Linked DNA regions of Saccharomyces cerevisiae S288C. The gene in region 1 interacts genetically with each later gene. Each region holds a gene or a part of one and is shown on either strand. Other genes may lie near its edges.

What was found.
Region 2: mutations in PMA2 (region 1) and PHM8 together harm fitness more than expected from each alone (negative genetic interaction), as found in Saccharomyces cerevisiae (2 studies listed by BioGRID).
Region 3: mutations in PMA2 (region 1) and FMP52 together harm fitness more than expected from each alone (negative genetic interaction), as found in Saccharomyces cerevisiae (2 studies listed by BioGRID).
Region 4: mutations in PMA2 (region 1) and EDS1 together harm fitness more than expected from each alone (negative genetic interaction), as found in Saccharomyces cerevisiae (2 studies listed by BioGRID).

Annotation. Positions count from the first base shown.
Region 1 is NC_001148.4:480,955-486,239, reverse strand, and holds PMA2 (H(+)-exporting P2-type ATPase PMA2), read right to left. Parts: upstream 3,398-5,285; coding exon 554-3,397; downstream 1-553. Other genes in the region: EGD1 (Egd1p), read left to right, coding at 4,339-4,812; MET31 (Met31p), read right to left, coding at 5,172-5,285. UniProt on the Saccharomyces cerevisiae protein: The plasma membrane ATPase of plants and fungi is a hydrogen ion pump. The proton gradient it generates drives the active transport of nutrients by H(+)-symport. The resulting external acidification and/or internal alkinization may mediate growth responses.
Region 2 is NC_001137.3:224,160-227,354, forward strand, and holds PHM8 (bifunctional nucleotidase/lysophosphatidic acid phosphatase), read left to right. Parts: upstream 1-1,729; coding exon 1,730-2,695; downstream 2,696-3,195. Other genes in the region: ATP-binding cassette family ATPase ARB1, read right to left, coding at 1-1,040; Smc5-Smc6 complex subunit KRE29, read right to left, coding at 2,699-3,195. UniProt on the Saccharomyces cerevisiae protein: May be involved in phosphate metabolism.
Region 3 is NC_001137.3:157,820-160,814, forward strand, and holds FMP52 (Fmp52p), read left to right. Parts: upstream 1-1,760; coding exon 1,761-2,456; downstream 2,457-2,995. Other genes in the region: mannose-6-phosphate isomerase PMI40, read right to left, coding at 1-1,175, 1,269-1,299; YND1 (apyrase), read left to right, coding at 2,731-2,995.
Region 4 is NC_001134.8:300,099-305,203, forward strand, and holds EDS1 (Eds1p), read left to right. Parts: upstream 1-1,845; coding exon 1,846-4,605; downstream 4,606-5,105. Other genes in the region: 60S ribosomal protein uL4 RPL4A, read left to right, coding at 68-1,156; YBR032W (uncharacterized protein), read left to right, coding at 1,421-1,723; protein-arginine omega-N methyltransferase HMT1, read right to left, coding at 4,832-5,105.

The DNA.
Region 1 (5,285 bases):
AGAAGAAACTGATATAATACGTGCAATGTGCTTGTATGTAAATAAGTGTGCATTATATGTTTATTAAAAATTAAGAATTAGATTGATTTAATGTTTCGAAAAAAAAAATATTTAGTCATTTCACCATGTTGGATGGGAATTCGTGTGTTGTTATTGGAATGATTCTTCCTTTTTGGAGAGGAAAATAGTCAAAAGAACACGAAATAATATGAAAAAAATTTTCCATATGAATTTGCATCCAATCAAGCAAAAGATCGGCCTACTTCTGATATGTGGATATGTTTGTTTGTGTGTGTGTGTGTGTGTGTGTGTGATAAAATTGACAGATATGATGCCACTTAGTCTAAAAACTTGTGTGTAAACTTTAAAACTGTAACATCATATCGAAGGTATCAAACAGAGCACAATTGAAGAGGCATTAATTTGATTTTTGTTGACCGTGTTCTTTTATAACGTCTTGGCTTCCTTGGTATCGACAAATTGAAATGAAAATGAGGAATAACAAAAAGGAGATCAATAAGAAAAAAAATCAGATGGATGATGTTTAAAATTACTAACTGCTTTTTTCGTGTTGAGTAGAAACTCTTTGCATAGCAGCCATGAAATCTTCGACACTTCTTGTAGACTTCTTTTCCTTTAATGACTTACCATTCATCAACCTATCAAAGGCTTGAGACGTGGACATAATATAGTAAAATCCTCCCAATACACAAAAAATACCAATGGACCAAATCCAGACACGAACGACTGACACAATATCAGTCCAGTTTTCAGACCACCAGCCAAATAAGGTAAACATGGTAGCAATAATATCAACGGCGAAAACGGCACCGGCTAACTGCCACGATGGAATGGAAGACCAGAATGGGCCAGCAGCTCTAGTGACAAAAATTAACCAATTTTCAGTTAGTGAAATCTGCAGGAACATGACACCATTCATGGCACCAAAATTTTGGATAATACCACCATTAGGCAAGAACATGGTGGTTAAAGTAATCCAAGAACCTATAGCTAAAACTATGCCCAAAATAATAGACATACCCCATAATCTTGGTAGGTTCCATTTCACAGGTTCAGGAGCATAAGGAGCATTGTCATAAGCAATAGTTAAAGTGGCAACGTCTGCGAAAATAGCAATAAAAACGATCAAATTGATATCCAAAGAGTTGTTTAAAATAGCAATCCATAAACCCAGGAAAATCTCCAAATGTAAGGATAGGGCAATACGATAAACAACATAGGAGTACATTCTGTGGAAAATCTGTCTAGAAGTCTTTAAGGCATCAATAATAGCAGAGAGACCAGGGGCCAAGAAAACAATATCAGCGGCTGATCTGGCAGCATCGGTAGCACCTTCGACAGCAATACCAGTATCAGCCTTCTTCAAAGATGGGGCATCGTTAACACCATCACCAGTCATAGCAACCAAGTAACCTCTGTTTTGCAAGATTTCAACGACTCTGTATTTATGCTGTGGGAAAACTTCTGCGAAACCATCGGCATTTTCAACAAAATCAGCCAACTCTGAACCAGGCATATCACCTCCACCTCCCAGACCTAACCTTTCTGCGTTATAAATGTTTGTACCAAGTCCTAATTGCCTACACGTTTCTTTCGCGATACCAACAGCGTCACCGGTTAACATCTTGATTCTCAAACCAAGGTTTCTGGCCTCATTGATTGTTTGAGCGGTGTCATCTCTAGGGGGGTCCATACATGGCATAACACCCAAGATTTCCCAGTGACCTTCCCCTCTCTTTCTAGCAACACCTAAAGCACGGAAACCTCTAGAAGCTAGTTCAGCAACCTTATTTTCGTAGTTTTCATGCACATCTTCCGGAATTGGGTGATCTTCTTCAACAGTCTTCAAGACAAACAATGGGGCTCCCTTGACACAAACAATTCTTTCACCTTCTGGGGATTCTACAACAGCGGTAACCTTTTTTGAGACAGGGTCGAACGGATGGAATTCCAAAACTTTGTACTTGGTCAGGGCGTCTTTAGCTTTTGGATACTCAATCAATGACTTCAAAAAAGCCTTATCAATAGCATCCAAACCTTTCTTCTTTCTAGAGGCAGCTAAACAAGCGGTCAACATCAAGTCGTCCGGAGAAACGCCTTCGACAGTGTAGGGTTCGTGTAAAGATAACTTGTTTTTGGTTAAAGTACCAGTCTTGTCAGAACATAAAATCTCAACACCAGCAAGGGATTCAATAGCAGATAACTTTTGAACAATGGCTTGCTTCTTAGCCAAGTAAGCTGCACCGACAGCCATGGTCGTGGTAACAACTGCTGGCAAACCGACTGGGACACCAATGATGGTTATACCCAAAGTATATCTCAAAATGCTTACAATACCGACCGTTCTATAGAAACATGCGGTCCAGACCAACAACAAAGTAGCGATAACTAGAACAAGTAAGATAATACCAATTCCATTCAATACTTCAGTGAAATGGCCCTCTACACCGGAAGCCTGCCCCACTAAGGCGGCAGCCCTACCGACGAAGGTATTGTCACCAGTGGCAGTAACAACCATAAAAGCCTCGCCGGTTTTCACAGTGGATGAGGAGAACACCTCATCACCGTAATGCTTTTCAGCGGCTAAGGATTCACCAGTGATGGCCGATTGATCGATCTGCAAAAAACAGTCTTCAGTGACAATACGACCATCTGCGGGAGCAATTGTGCCACTTTCCAATTGCAAAATCTCACCAGGAACTACCTCATTAGCCGGAATTTCGATCAATTGGCCATCTCTAATAACTGTTGCAGTATTGGCCAACGTCTTTTTCAGCTCGTCTACGATGGAACCTGCCTGGAATTCTTGAATAAATCCGACAGATGCGTTTAATAGCAGTAAAGCACAGATGACACCGACATCAACCCAATCAGACAAACCGGCAGCCAAAATAGCAGCAGCCTCCATAACGAATTGAATAGGCCCTACGAAGAACATCAAAAACTTCACAATCAACGATTCATTCTCCTCAGCCATTTGATTTAACCCATATTTCTTTCTTCTCCTGGCGACTTCATCCGAAGTCAAACCATACGCAGGGTCCGTAGAAAGGTCCTTTTCAGGAACAACCCTTTGGCCAGCGTGCACCCCATCAGTACGTACTTCTTCTTCACCAGATTCATCACCCTCACCGTAGTTAGATTGTAGTTCATCAATCAATTGGTCTATATCTTCATCTGAGTCAGAATCATCAGCGGCAGAAGCGGCTGCGGCCTTCCGTGGAACGGCTGCAGCCGATGACGAGGCGGAAGTTGATGTAGAAGACGAAGATGACGAAGAAGCGGCAGAATTATTTGCAGGGTCATCGCCATCACTGGCATGGAGGTACTCTTTCGAGGGTTTCTCCTTGTATTGCTTTGCTTCAGTGGAAGACATAACGCAAAACAGTTTCCTTTTGCTTAAATTGTACTAGCACACAGCAACGAAAAATGAAAAAAAAAAAGTTATGGGTATGTTTAAAAAAGCCCAGTAGCTTGGATACAGTAGGTTATCCAGCAAGAAATGCTGGAAGAAATAATAGATGGTAAAAGAGGATATTACACACCTTTATATAACGAAGTACCATCACACCGCCAATTACGTTTAGGGGACGCCGACAAGAAGTAAATTCACTATTATGTACTTACAAATATGTTTCCACCGATAACCTTTCCCCCTTCGACGGTTATTTGAGCAGCGTCTGTCCGCCATTTTTCCAGAGAAGCTACTTCATCAATCAATTGACTTCGCAATTCCCTTAAACAAAAAAAATTTCTTTTGCCCTCCCTCGACGATTTTGGAGTAGAGAATACCTTAGGCCTTTTTTTTTCTTTTTTCTCACGGCTGCTCTTCCTCTTTTTCGCATATTCTATTTTATCATCGACTTCCCTAATTCGCACTCGTACCAAAATGTTAAGCAGTATGGCGAAGAACGTGGCGCGCTGGAGTCGTGAATGTTTGGGTCCTTGATGATGGACTACGGTAGTAAGTATGTAGTAGTTGCAACTTCATATGTTCACTTCTGATCCAAGGAAGAGCGGTTATGAATTAATCTCTTGGCATGAGCGGACGGGTAAGGGGACACCGCCTTTTCTTCGATGGGAATCAGGGTAATGGTATATGATGGATTATTGTGGAATCATTTAGTACGGCAGATGTTGAAAAAAAAAGCAGAAAATTTTTGAATTTTTTTCGTTGACATTGGAAGATTTCGTAGTGGAAACAGCTGCAATTGCTTGTTAAGTAGTAACCCCTCCTTTGTCACAAGAGAGCGAATATTCTTTCTAGGGAGGTTTAAGAATAGAACATCTCACACCAGACGCGACTCATAATTCATAATGCCAATTGACCAAGAAAAATTAGCTAAGCTACAAAAGTTGTCTGCTAACAACAAAGTTGGTGGTACTAGAAGAAAGCTTAACAAGAAGGCAGGCTCTTCTGCCGGTGCCAACAAGGATGACACCAAGTTGCAAAGTCAATTAGCTAAGTTGCACGCTGTCACCATTGACAACGTCGCCGAAGCCAACTTTTTCAAGGACGACGGTAAGGTCATGCACTTCAACAAGGTCGGTGTCCAAGTTGCTGCTCAACACAACACTTCTGTATTCTACGGTCTACCACAGGAAAAGAACTTGCAAGATTTGTTCCCAGGTATTATCTCTCAATTGGGCCCTGAAGCCATCCAAGCCTTGTCTCAATTGGCTGCCCAAATGGAAAAGCACGAAGCCAAGGCTCCAGCTGATGCTGAAAAGAAGGATGAAGCTATTCCAGAGTTAGTTGAAGGTCAAACTTTTGATGCTGACGTCGAATAAATAACTTAATCTTTAATTTTAACGTTAAATAAAAAAACACATATTTTGTTCCATTTTTTTTCATTTTTTTTAGCATATCTAAAGCATATAATACAAACACTGTTTTCTGCAAAAAAAAAAAAATAAAAAATAAAATATAAAAAAACAATATACCACACTATGCTGCACACGTGAAATGATGAACTTGTACGTCACCACTTTGTGCGCAAAAAATTGGCAAAAGTAGAGAACATGTCACTAACTGTATCGGAATATTACAACGTTTTTTTATTCTACTTATCTCAATGGCTAAAGTATATATCTATCTATATATGTATGTGTAGGTGTGCTGATGGAGACAAATACGTTTTCCTCTAGCCTTACAACAGGCCGGTACCATTCTTTATCGCATCCTTGATGAGCTCATCTACATCAACGTCTGAACCTTCACTTAGTTTCTTTCTGTTTCTTTGACAGGTCAGTGTGTTAGAATG
Region 2 (3,195 bases), on another chromosome or scaffold:
GCATAAGTACCAGCAGATGCAATGAATTTTTTAATATGTTGGATTTCCTCTTGTTGTTTATTGTATTGTTTCATTTGATTGGTTTCCAATTCGGATCTTGTCTTGTGATAAGAATCATAGTTACCACCGTAAGCAGTTAGTTTTTGAGCTCTCATGTCAATCATATTGGTACAAACACCGTTCAAGAAATCTTGAGAGTGGGACACCAAAACTAAAGTTCTGTCAAATCTCTTCAAATATTCTTCTAACCAAACACAAGCTTCCAAATCCAGATGCGCAGTAGGATCATCCAACAATAATAGAGTTGGCTTAACGAAAAGAGCTTTTGCCAACGCAACACGCATTTTCCATCCACCAGACATATCTTTGGTTTTCTTCAAAATGGTCTTCTTGTTGAAACCTAGACCGATCAAAATGATAGCAGCTCTAGATTCAAAGGTGTCTGGATCCAAAGAGTCCATTCTTTCATATAGAGGCTCTAATAACTCGGACTCAGGACCATCTTCCAAGATAGTCTTTTCGACTAAGTCTTCTATTCTTTTCAATTCGTGTTGAGCTTCAGTGACAACGTAGTCCAAGGCCGACAATTCACTTGGTTCCGCAGGTTCGTCCAATAAATAAATATCAATATGCTCAGGAATAGGATATTCTCTAGTAGCAAGAGCCTTTAAGAATGTTGACTTACCACAACCATTTTCTCCCAGAAGACCATATCTACGGCCGTAGTTTAATTCTAAACCAGAATCTTGGATCAAAACTTTACCGTGGAACAGTAAAGAAACAGAAGATAGCTTGATATCACGGGAAGTCTCCAATGAACTCAAAACACCAGTGACAACACGATCTGAAAGACCATCCTTATCTTGTTGCAACTTCATCATCTTGATTTCTCTAGCGGCTGCATCTACCTCCGATTCTTCAGCAGCAGCCTCCTTTTTTCTACCTAGCTTTCTGATGGTTTTACCGGCAGCGGCTTTCTTAGCCTCTCTTTCAGCTTTCTTAGCATCTCTCTTGGCCTTTGACGCAGATACTGGTGGCATATTTGGTTCTGTCAAGTTACTGTTTGTAGCACTGAGGGGAAGAAAACAATTTTTGCAAGAAAAAAGTTAAGAAAGAAGAAGAAAAACTACACGGGCACTAACATGTTAAATATGATAATATTTTTTTTTATAAGAGAATCACTACCAAGTTACCTGAACTACGTCAAGGAAAAGCCATTAATTGAGATGAGGTGAACGAAGAAAAAAAAAAAGAAAAAAATTTTTATTTTTTTTTCCATCGGTCTCCCCCCTCACCTTTCTTTTTTCATTCGTTTAAAGTGAGATTAGGGTAATGCATTTCGTATTTAGTGAGTAAACGTCAAAGGTGATATAGGGGGTTTTTCTTTTTCCAGAAAAAGAAAGAAAAAAGCCGGCGGTCGCCGCCGGAGATGGTTGAGAAAAAAAGGGGGCAGCAACGTGCTTCACATACAAACCAAGTTCTTGGATCTGTACGATCGTTTCTGCGGGTTTTTCCGTATTTGCCGCAATACTGAAATGGCTCATTATTAGGAGATGTGCATATAATGTATATACATACATTTAGCATATGTAATACATTCGTACATGTATAGAAATATATGTTTATATATATATATATATATATATGTATATACGAACTCGGTTTAACGCATAGTTGGTAAAAGATTTAATGTAGATAAAAAACACATAAGTTTTATACGCACGTAATCATGACTATCGCTAAAGATTACAGAACAATTTATAGAAACCAAATCAAAAAGCAGATACGACTAAATCAGGAGCATTTGCAAAGCTTGACACATCTAGGCTCACAAATCAATTTCGAGGTGGATCCTCCCAAATTACCGGATCCGGATCCTGCTCGAAAAGTATTTTTCTTTGATATCGATAACACTTTGTACAGAAAATCTACGAAGGTACAATTGCTCATGCAACAATCATTATCAAATTTCTTTAAATACGAATTGGGGTTTGACGACGATGAGGCAGAACGCCTAATCGAATCGTATTATCAAGAATATGGATTATCCGTGAAAGGTTTAATAAAGAATAAACAAATTGATGACGTCCTACAATATAATACATTCATCGATGATTCCTTACCTTTGCAAGACTATTTAAAGCCTGATTGGAAGTTAAGGGAGCTGCTGATCAATTTAAAGAAAAAGAAGCTCGGCAAATTTGACAAACTATGGCTGTTTACAAACTCGTACAAAAATCATGCCATCAGATGTGTTAAAATATTAGGTATTGCTGATCTATTTGACGGCATAACCTATTGCCACTACGACAGACCCATCGAGGAAGAATTCATTTGCAAGCCAGATCCAAAATTCTTCGAAACAGCTAAATTGCAAAGTGGGTTGTCGAGCTTTGCAAATGCCTGGTTTATTGATGACAACGAAAGCAATGTGCGGAGCGCGTTGAGCATGGGGATGGGCCATGTTATCCATTTGATAGAGGATTACCAATATGAGTCAGAAAATATTGTTACTAAGGACCACAAAAATAAGCAACAATTTTCCATATTGAAAGATATCCTTGAGATTCCATTGATAATGGACGTTGAAGTTTACCGTCCATCCTCTATTGCCATAAAGGAAATGGAAGAGTTGGAAGAGGAAGGGGAAGCAGTCAACTGGTCAAATCAACAGATCAATGTTCAGTCATCATGACTGTTACCTGATTTTAGAAAACAAATTTAATATTCCCTTCAGGATAGAAATTTCAACATCATTTGTCGTTTCATTAGAAATATCCAAAATACAATCTTTGAAATATTCTGTTACTTGACATTTGGGACCAAAAGGAATAAATTTCGAGCCATACATCGTTAAAATAAAATATAGTAGATTTTTATAGTTTTTACAATCAAAAAATTCGTTAAACTCTTTGATTATATTTTGCTGTATAGTTTCAGTCCGACCTTGCTTTTCACTAAAGCGTCTCCTGAGCAAGGCGCTTTGTAAATGAGGGAAGATTTGTAGTAGCCTATAATGTAAAAAAAAGTCGTTCTTGTCCACAATTTCGAAATATGAATTTATGAAATGTGCCTCATTAAATAATTCCAGGACCTTAAAACACAGTCTATGGTCCGATTCCATAGCGTTAAAAACCTTTCTATCCAAGATTAAACATATGAAGGCTTTCAGAAAGAATTCTCTAACATCATCAT
Region 3 (2,995 bases), on another chromosome or scaffold:
AAAGACAAAACCGGGTTCAGCTTTCAATTTTTGGCCATCTGCTTTAATGTAACCATTACCTTTTGTAGTGATTAAGATACTTGGACCATCAACACCTTCAAAATGCCTTTGACCAAGTTTCTCATCAAAAGTAGTCTCCAATACAGCAAATTCTTCGATTGGAGGGTTATATAAAACTGACTTACCGTTACCAGAGGACCTGTCGAACTTTAAAGGCTGCATTTTTTGCTTTTCCACAGGATCATATGTATAGGTTAACATGGAGACCAAGTTTTTAACATCCTTGAATTTTGGAGTGAAGCCTGCTCTAACTACGTTGTCAGAAGCAGCCATACATTCCATAATATCACCGCTTATATAGGCGTGAGGATCCTTAGCTCTTAAAAAGATGGCTTCACCAGCATTCAATCTGCAGTGATTCAACAATAAACATCCACAAAACAAACCCACGTCATCAGGGAACTGTTTATTCAGTCTTTGAATTAATTCTGGTAAATCAGGTTTGTTAAAGTCTGATGGAGAATTCTTTGATCTTTCGACCAAGGAGCGAGCTTGAATCTTGATTTTGTCATCCGAAGCGTTCATGACCCTGCTGAAAACAGCTTGCAATAGCTTTTTGTTTTGCTCATCTTCTGGGGAACCTTTCTGAGCAGAAGGTTGAATGTTCTCAATAAAATTCCTGGAAGTTTCTTCACCAACAATGTTGCGTAATTCAGGAATACGTTTCAATTCATCTGCAATCTCTTGCAAAGGTTTGAACCCGCAGAAACCTTCAAAGTCAGTCACAGCGATGGCCATTTCAGGTTTGTGATTATCATCAGGATAGTTCTTAGGATCTTGAGCGTGCAATATTTTACCCAAGGCTTTGTCGGGATGTGCTTGAATAGACAAGACTTTTTCAATGGACAAAACTTTGAAAAGGAAGGGCAATTCATTTGTGGCGTGGAACTTATCAATAATGTCCTTACCTAACATGGCAGAGGGGTTCTTGGAGATGATATCTCTCAGGGATTCCTTAGACTCATGGTTGTAGGAAGGCATCTTGCTGTGGGTACCCATCCATAACTCTGCATATGGTTTATCTTGTTCAATTTGAACAGAGGGGTCAGAATGGGCAGCAAATTGAGCGACAGCTGAAGAAGAGCCGATTTTACCCCAGTCGTATTGTTGGTAGCCTACATAGAGTCGTACGCGTTAGTTAGTGTACCAAAAAAAAAAAAAAAAAATACTCAAAGTATTCAAAATATTTGACGAAAAATGGCACATACCTGCATCTAACCTGAACAGCTTGTTGGACATGTTTTAAAATTTTCTGGTCTGATGTTCTTTACGTGTTTAGTGTTGAATGATTACAAGAAACAAACATTTTATACAGAAATATACTAAGATTGCGACGTGTATATTTAAATACGTAAATCGCGGCGAAAAAGGACACGGACGCGACAAAAAATTGCTACAATAACCAAGCAGCACGAAATGGATAGTGCACCACGAGACTTGGCATGATCAAAGTGCAAAAGAAAGCAGAATAACAAATTACTCCCGCAAAGTACTAGCTATATCAGGGAACGACTTTATTGGCATCTTGTTGTAGCAAGGTTTTCATGATTCTCATCCTTGCGCTTGTCGCGCGGCACGATGCCAGTGCGGAGTTTCCGCGATATGATGTAACTGCAGCTGTTGGTGGCGAACTTTGCATAAGATCGACCTCCTACTGATGAGAAAGATAGGATGGATTATATAGAAGAGCACAAGCAACGATGAATGGGTTGGTATTAGGCGCTACAGGTTTATGCGGAGGCGGGTTTCTGAGGCACGCACAGGAGGCACCCCAGTTCTCTAAGGTATACGCGATCTTGAGAAGGGAATTGCCCTTTCCGGCCACTGATAAAGTTGTGGCCATAGTAGAAAGGGATAATTCAAAGTGGTCACAATTGATCACCAATGAAATGAATCCGCAGGTGCTATTCACCGCACTGGCAACGACAAGGGCAGCTGCAGGCGGTTTGGACAAGCAATACAAGATCGATCATGATTTAAACTTACAATTGGCCCAGGCTGCCAAGGAAAAAGGATGTGAAACGATCGTTCTCGTTTCTTCCGCTGGTGCTCATCCGGACTCCAGGTTCGGCTACATGAAGATGAAGGGCGAGATTGAACGCGATGTTATCGCTCTTGATTTTAAGCACATTATAATTTTGCGCCCAGGCCCTCTCCTTGGTGAACGGACAAATTCTAAACAAAGCGGATTTGGCGGCAATCTGACTGCTGCTTTGGGCACTCGCGTGTACCGTTCTAGATTCCAGAGGTTGCTAGGCTATCCAGTTTATGGCGATGAGGTAGGAAAAGTTGGTGTTCATTTGGCGTTGAATACTTCTGGGAAAGACAAGGTTCAGTTTGTCTCCAGCAAGGACATTCTTGACATCTCAGCTTCTCTGGAGAAGATTGCTACCTAAATCAACCAACGGCTTCTTCTCGCAGCTACAGTTGTATTTTACTGTGACGTACTTTTGCGCGCGTACGGGTTCAATGAATTACGGATTTTCAACAACTTCACACAATCATAGCTTTTTTTACTTTTTCGCCTCATTATTTTCTTTAAAGAAACGATGATAAACAGAGATTTATCGTCATGTTATTTCGTTCGTATATATCGTATTTGCGTTTTAGCTGTATAAAGTAAAATACTATATCTAACGTGGCTTTTTTTATTTCCCCGTCTGCCCTCTTATGCTCATAGAAAACACTAATGATCGGTTTGGTATCGTCATAGATGCAGGGTCTTCGGGTTCGAGAATCCATGTGTTTAAGTGGCAGGACACGGAATCGCTTCTTCATGCAACAAACCAGGACTCACAGTCCATATTACAATCAGTACCTCATATTCATCAAGAAAAAGACTGGACTTTTAAGCTGAATCCAGGCTTGTCGAGTTTTGAAAAAAAACCTCAAGATGCGTACAAATCTCACATCAAGCCGTTACTAGATTTTGCTA
Region 4 (5,105 bases), on another chromosome or scaffold:
GCCTCGCAACTTGTACTTTTCATCACTTTTCTTGTAATTTAGCAATATCCCAAGAACAATCATCGAAATGTCCCGTCCACAAGTTACTGTTCACTCTTTGACTGGTGAAGCTACTGCCAATGCCTTGCCATTGCCAGCTGTCTTCTCCGCTCCTATCCGTCCAGACATTGTCCACACTGTTTTCACCTCTGTGAACAAGAACAAGAGACAAGCTTACGCTGTTTCTGAAAAGGCTGGTCACCAAACCTCCGCTGAATCCTGGGGTACCGGTCGTGCCGTCGCTCGTATTCCAAGAGTTGGTGGTGGTGGTACCGGTAGATCCGGTCAAGGTGCCTTCGGTAACATGTGTCGTGGTGGTCGTATGTTTGCTCCAACTAAGACCTGGAGAAAGTGGAACGTTAAGGTTAACCACAACGAAAAGCGTTACGCCACTGCTTCTGCTATTGCTGCTACTGCTGTTGCCTCTTTGGTCTTGGCCAGAGGTCACAGAGTCGAAAAGATTCCAGAAATCCCATTGGTTGTCTCCACTGACTTGGAATCTATTCAAAAGACCAAGGAAGCTGTTGCTGCTTTGAAGGCTGTTGGTGCTCACTCCGACTTGTTGAAGGTCTTGAAGTCCAAGAAATTGAGAGCCGGTAAGGGTAAGTACAGAAACAGAAGATGGACTCAAAGAAGAGGTCCATTAGTTGTCTACGCTGAAGACAACGGTATCGTCAAGGCCTTGAGAAACGTTCCAGGTGTTGAAACTGCCAACGTTGCTTCTTTGAACTTGTTGCAATTGGCTCCAGGTGCTCACTTGGGTAGATTCGTTATCTGGACCGAAGCTGCTTTCACCAAGTTGGACCAAGTCTGGGGTTCCGAAACCGTTGCCTCCTCCAAGGTCGGCTACACTTTGCCATCCCATATCATCTCCACTTCTGATGTCACCAGAATTATCAACTCTTCCGAAATCCAATCTGCTATCAGACCAGCTGGCCAAGCTACTCAAAAGCGTACTCACGTTTTGAAGAAGAACCCATTGAAGAACAAGCAAGTCTTGTTGAGATTGAACCCTTACGCCAAGGTCTTTGCTGCTGAAAAGCTAGGTTCCAAGAAGGCTGAAAAGACTGGTACCAAGCCAGCTGCTGTTTTCACCGAAACTTTGAAACACGATTAAACTTATTAGTACATTAAAAATATTCTTTTATTTTTTATATACATACATAAGCCTTTAATACCTTTAAAGCGGTAACGACTGCCTCTTGAACTTAAAATTATTCTTTTTTTTGGATATTTGTTCGTTATGTTTAATGTATATATGTTGATGTTCGATCAGTTTTACGATATGCTCTTATAGGAACATTTACAGTTTTCCCCGCATTGAGTCCAGACCGAAGGTTACATACAAGATTTCTTCAGCGTTTGTTACTTCAGGAAGGCAATGGTAATCATACGTATCACATTGAGCAACCTACTGAGGGAGAAAGGAGATTTGTGCCTGGAACTACTTCGTGTAGACAAAGGAATATACCCCTTTGATACTTCTCAACCAATTGGTAGTATGCAGGTGCTGCTCCCCCACGCTAGTAATTACCCCGGTTCCGCTCAATTTTATCTTTTTGACGCGGCTACGAAACTCGGTTTCGAGCAGTCCGTTAACTTAAACTACAGTGAAAATCATTGGTTAAACAACACTCCATGCCAGTATCTGTATGTGTTTTTGCAACAAGCACGACTGGAGTAATAAAGAGTCACGCTAGCAAAATTTGTCTCTATAAGATTAAGATTCTGCTTTATAGCTTTGGAACCTTTCGTAGCTGTAGCCCGCTACGTAGAAATACATAACAATAGAATAATCTTTCAAAAATGTCACACCATGTTCCTAATTTATATGGTACACCTATTCGCGACCCTCACGAACGCAAACGCAATTCAGCGTCAATGGGCGAAGTAAATCAGTCAGTTTCTTCGAGGAATTGTGAAAGAGGAAGTGAAAAGGGCACGAAGCAAAGGAAGAAAGCCTCTCACGCTTGTGACCAATGTAGAAGGAAAAGAATCAAGTGCAGGTTTGATAAACATACCGGCGTATGTCAAGGGTGCTTAGAAGTCGGTGAAAAGTGTCAATTTATTAGAGTTCCATTGAAACGTGGTCCTGCAAAAAAAAGGGGCAGTGTAGTATCCATTGAAAAATTCAGCTCGGATAATGATCCTCTTCAATACCGACCAAGAACACATTCATACCCAATGAACTCGGGAAATAACTACTTACCATCACTCGCCAGGAATTCCTCTTTTCCTTCCATAAGCAGTCTATTTGTTCCCTCGATAACTGCTCAATCGCAACAATTTGTAAAGGTGCCGTACGATGACATCAAGCGTAGGAGCTCTCTGGCAATATTAGGCAGCGATTCATCGATATCTACCGAATTTGGGGGAAACTATCGCTTAGATGAAAACTTAAATGTCAGGCAAGAGGGGAAGGATATTGTAGCGAAAGGAATGATAACGCCCGTGGAGGAAATGGGCGCATGTTCATCTAACGTTCGTCGTCAGGGTTCACAATCTCTTCCAATTCAAGAACAGCGCGCTAGCCCGTACATTAACCCTTTTATCTCTGGGAGATCCAGGCTAAGCAGCCTTTCCTATACAAGTGAGGCTACAACTTCAGAAGGTAATACGCAAGGTAAAAACCAATGCATGCTTACTCCCAATAGTGTACGTTCCATTGAAAAGGAACGATTAAACTCGTTAACTGCGGGATTTCCGAACAAAAAATTAGGCACAGATGGTAGAAGTGACAAATGGGACAAAAATTCGACTTGGAAGCCTGTATATCGATCGTCGAATCCTTCTCATCCTAGCACTGAAAAAAATGTTTCCTTGAATCAGGAAGCCAGTGCTAAACCACTTATGCTTGGAACCTACAGACAGTTTGATGCAACCTCGTTCTACAAGGTTTTAGGCATCTACTATAACTTTTTCCATATTAATTTTCCTGTAATACCAATTAACAAAAGTAAATTTACTGACATGCTTGATCCTGAAAAGCCAAACGTGATTGATGAGATCAGACAAATTAACAATGAAATTATCCAGTGTTTTAAAACCGCGCTAGAGGTATTGGTATTTTGCAAAATAAAACAAAGAAGGTCATCGAAATCAACAAAATCATGGTCTCGTGACAGTTTATGCGATTTTCAAAAAGGTCTGTATTACATTCAGAATTTCAACAAATGTATAGCCGACTGCTTCCAAAGTTTAATAACTATAAAACCCGTATTAAAACAAAATTCCAGTGTTATTCCTTCAAGAATAAAGTTCATTTACTTTTCGACAATAATAGTGTTAAATTTTATCTTAATATTGGCCGGTGAGGAAAGCTCGCTTTTGCTAGGCCCCTCTGTTGGGGTTTTTAACGAATTTCAAGCTCATAAGTTATTTCTACCTTTTCAAAATACGTCCCCAATGCTATTATTAAATTCAAACGAGGAAAGTGGTGACGAGATACTGGATTATGCTGTGTTGTTCAAAAGGTTGTACATCCTTTTAAACATTCTGGATACGCTACAAAGCTTTCGGCTAGGTCAACCAAAATTAATTAATCTAAATTTTGGTAGCGCCATTGAAACATATTTTAGCGATAAAACAGGTCATAACCAAGTCGTCGAAAAAGCTCCCGTAGCTTTGGATAACATTCTACGAAACCTTAAACTTGGTGAATTTATAACATATTTTGTCCTTAACAGAAAATCATTGCAAGTAAATGTACCTCACCACTTGCTGTTCACAAATCAAACGGATTACGGAGAGTTCGCTGTTGAAAAAGGGGAACATGATAATATAGCTGGCAAATTTGAGACCCTTTTGAAGAAAAAGGAAATTTTAATCAGAAAATTACTAAATATTGAACAGAAAAATGACCATATTCTAGAAAATTGCTGCAATTCGGATGCTGAAATGAAAAATATCGGAGAGCTAGTCTGCTCAATGATCACTCTGGTATCAGGCATATTAGATTCAATTACTAATATGAACGCAGAAAACTCTGTTGATTTGGATTCAAAGCCCCTTCCGAACGCCTATTTTGCTCAGGACAGTGAAGAAGAATTAATGTCGCCAACACAAAGTATTACGTCAAATCTTGCCAGTGAAGAAAATACACGTTGCACAACCAAAGACTTGATGGGAACTGTTTCTATTTTCATGCTGCCAATGGTGGAAGAATGCTATAATATCATTAGTTTGATAGGACCCATACCTACCACATTAATAAGTTTATACATCCGTAATGGAAATATGGCCAAGGGAATAAATGACAGAATTATGACGTTGTCAACTGCGCTGAACGAATTGGTGCAAATAACCGCACTATTTAATACCCTAGAACCTTTTAGGAAGAATGCACATGACCGTGCTAAGCGTTACTATGTAAGTGCTACAAGTAGTACCGGATGCTACGAATCGGTAATGAAGAGCATGTATTCCGGAAAATGTGCAGCTAGTAACGCCTCAAACGTTGCGCCATCGGAGGAAGAAAACAAAAAGATATTGAAAAAGTTTGCCGACATAGGTTGGAAATTGATGGATGATTCAGAATTGGGTTGTTGCTGTTGCTTCTTTAACTAATATTCATGATAACAAGGTGAAAAATAGCATCCTAATGAAGGATAGATAAGTAGATTTTTTCTTTTAAAAACTATAGTACAAGGACATGCAAAGTCATATATCTAAACTAATTTTGGTACACGACCAACAAAAAAGGGTAACAAAGTACACATATTCGCGTCAATAATATGAACAAGTTTGTTTATTTGCTTTTCAAATTTTTTTCTTTCTCCAGCAAACAAAAGTCTTAATGCATTAAATAAGAACCTTCGTTTTTTCTGCTTCTTGAATTACCGTCGATGCCATTCGATTCGAACTTGTAAGAAATTTTGATATTTAGATCTCTGTTATTCTTCTCGTTTGGAGAGCAAACCAATTCACCTTCAATGGTGTCACCAGTTTCAGCATCTAGATCATCAGGGAAATAAAATATTGTTTGCTTCCAGTGAGTGTATGGAGCATGAGGACCAGTGGAGAACTCAACAGGTCTCTTACCCTTTGGTGCAGGGAAAACAATGTCG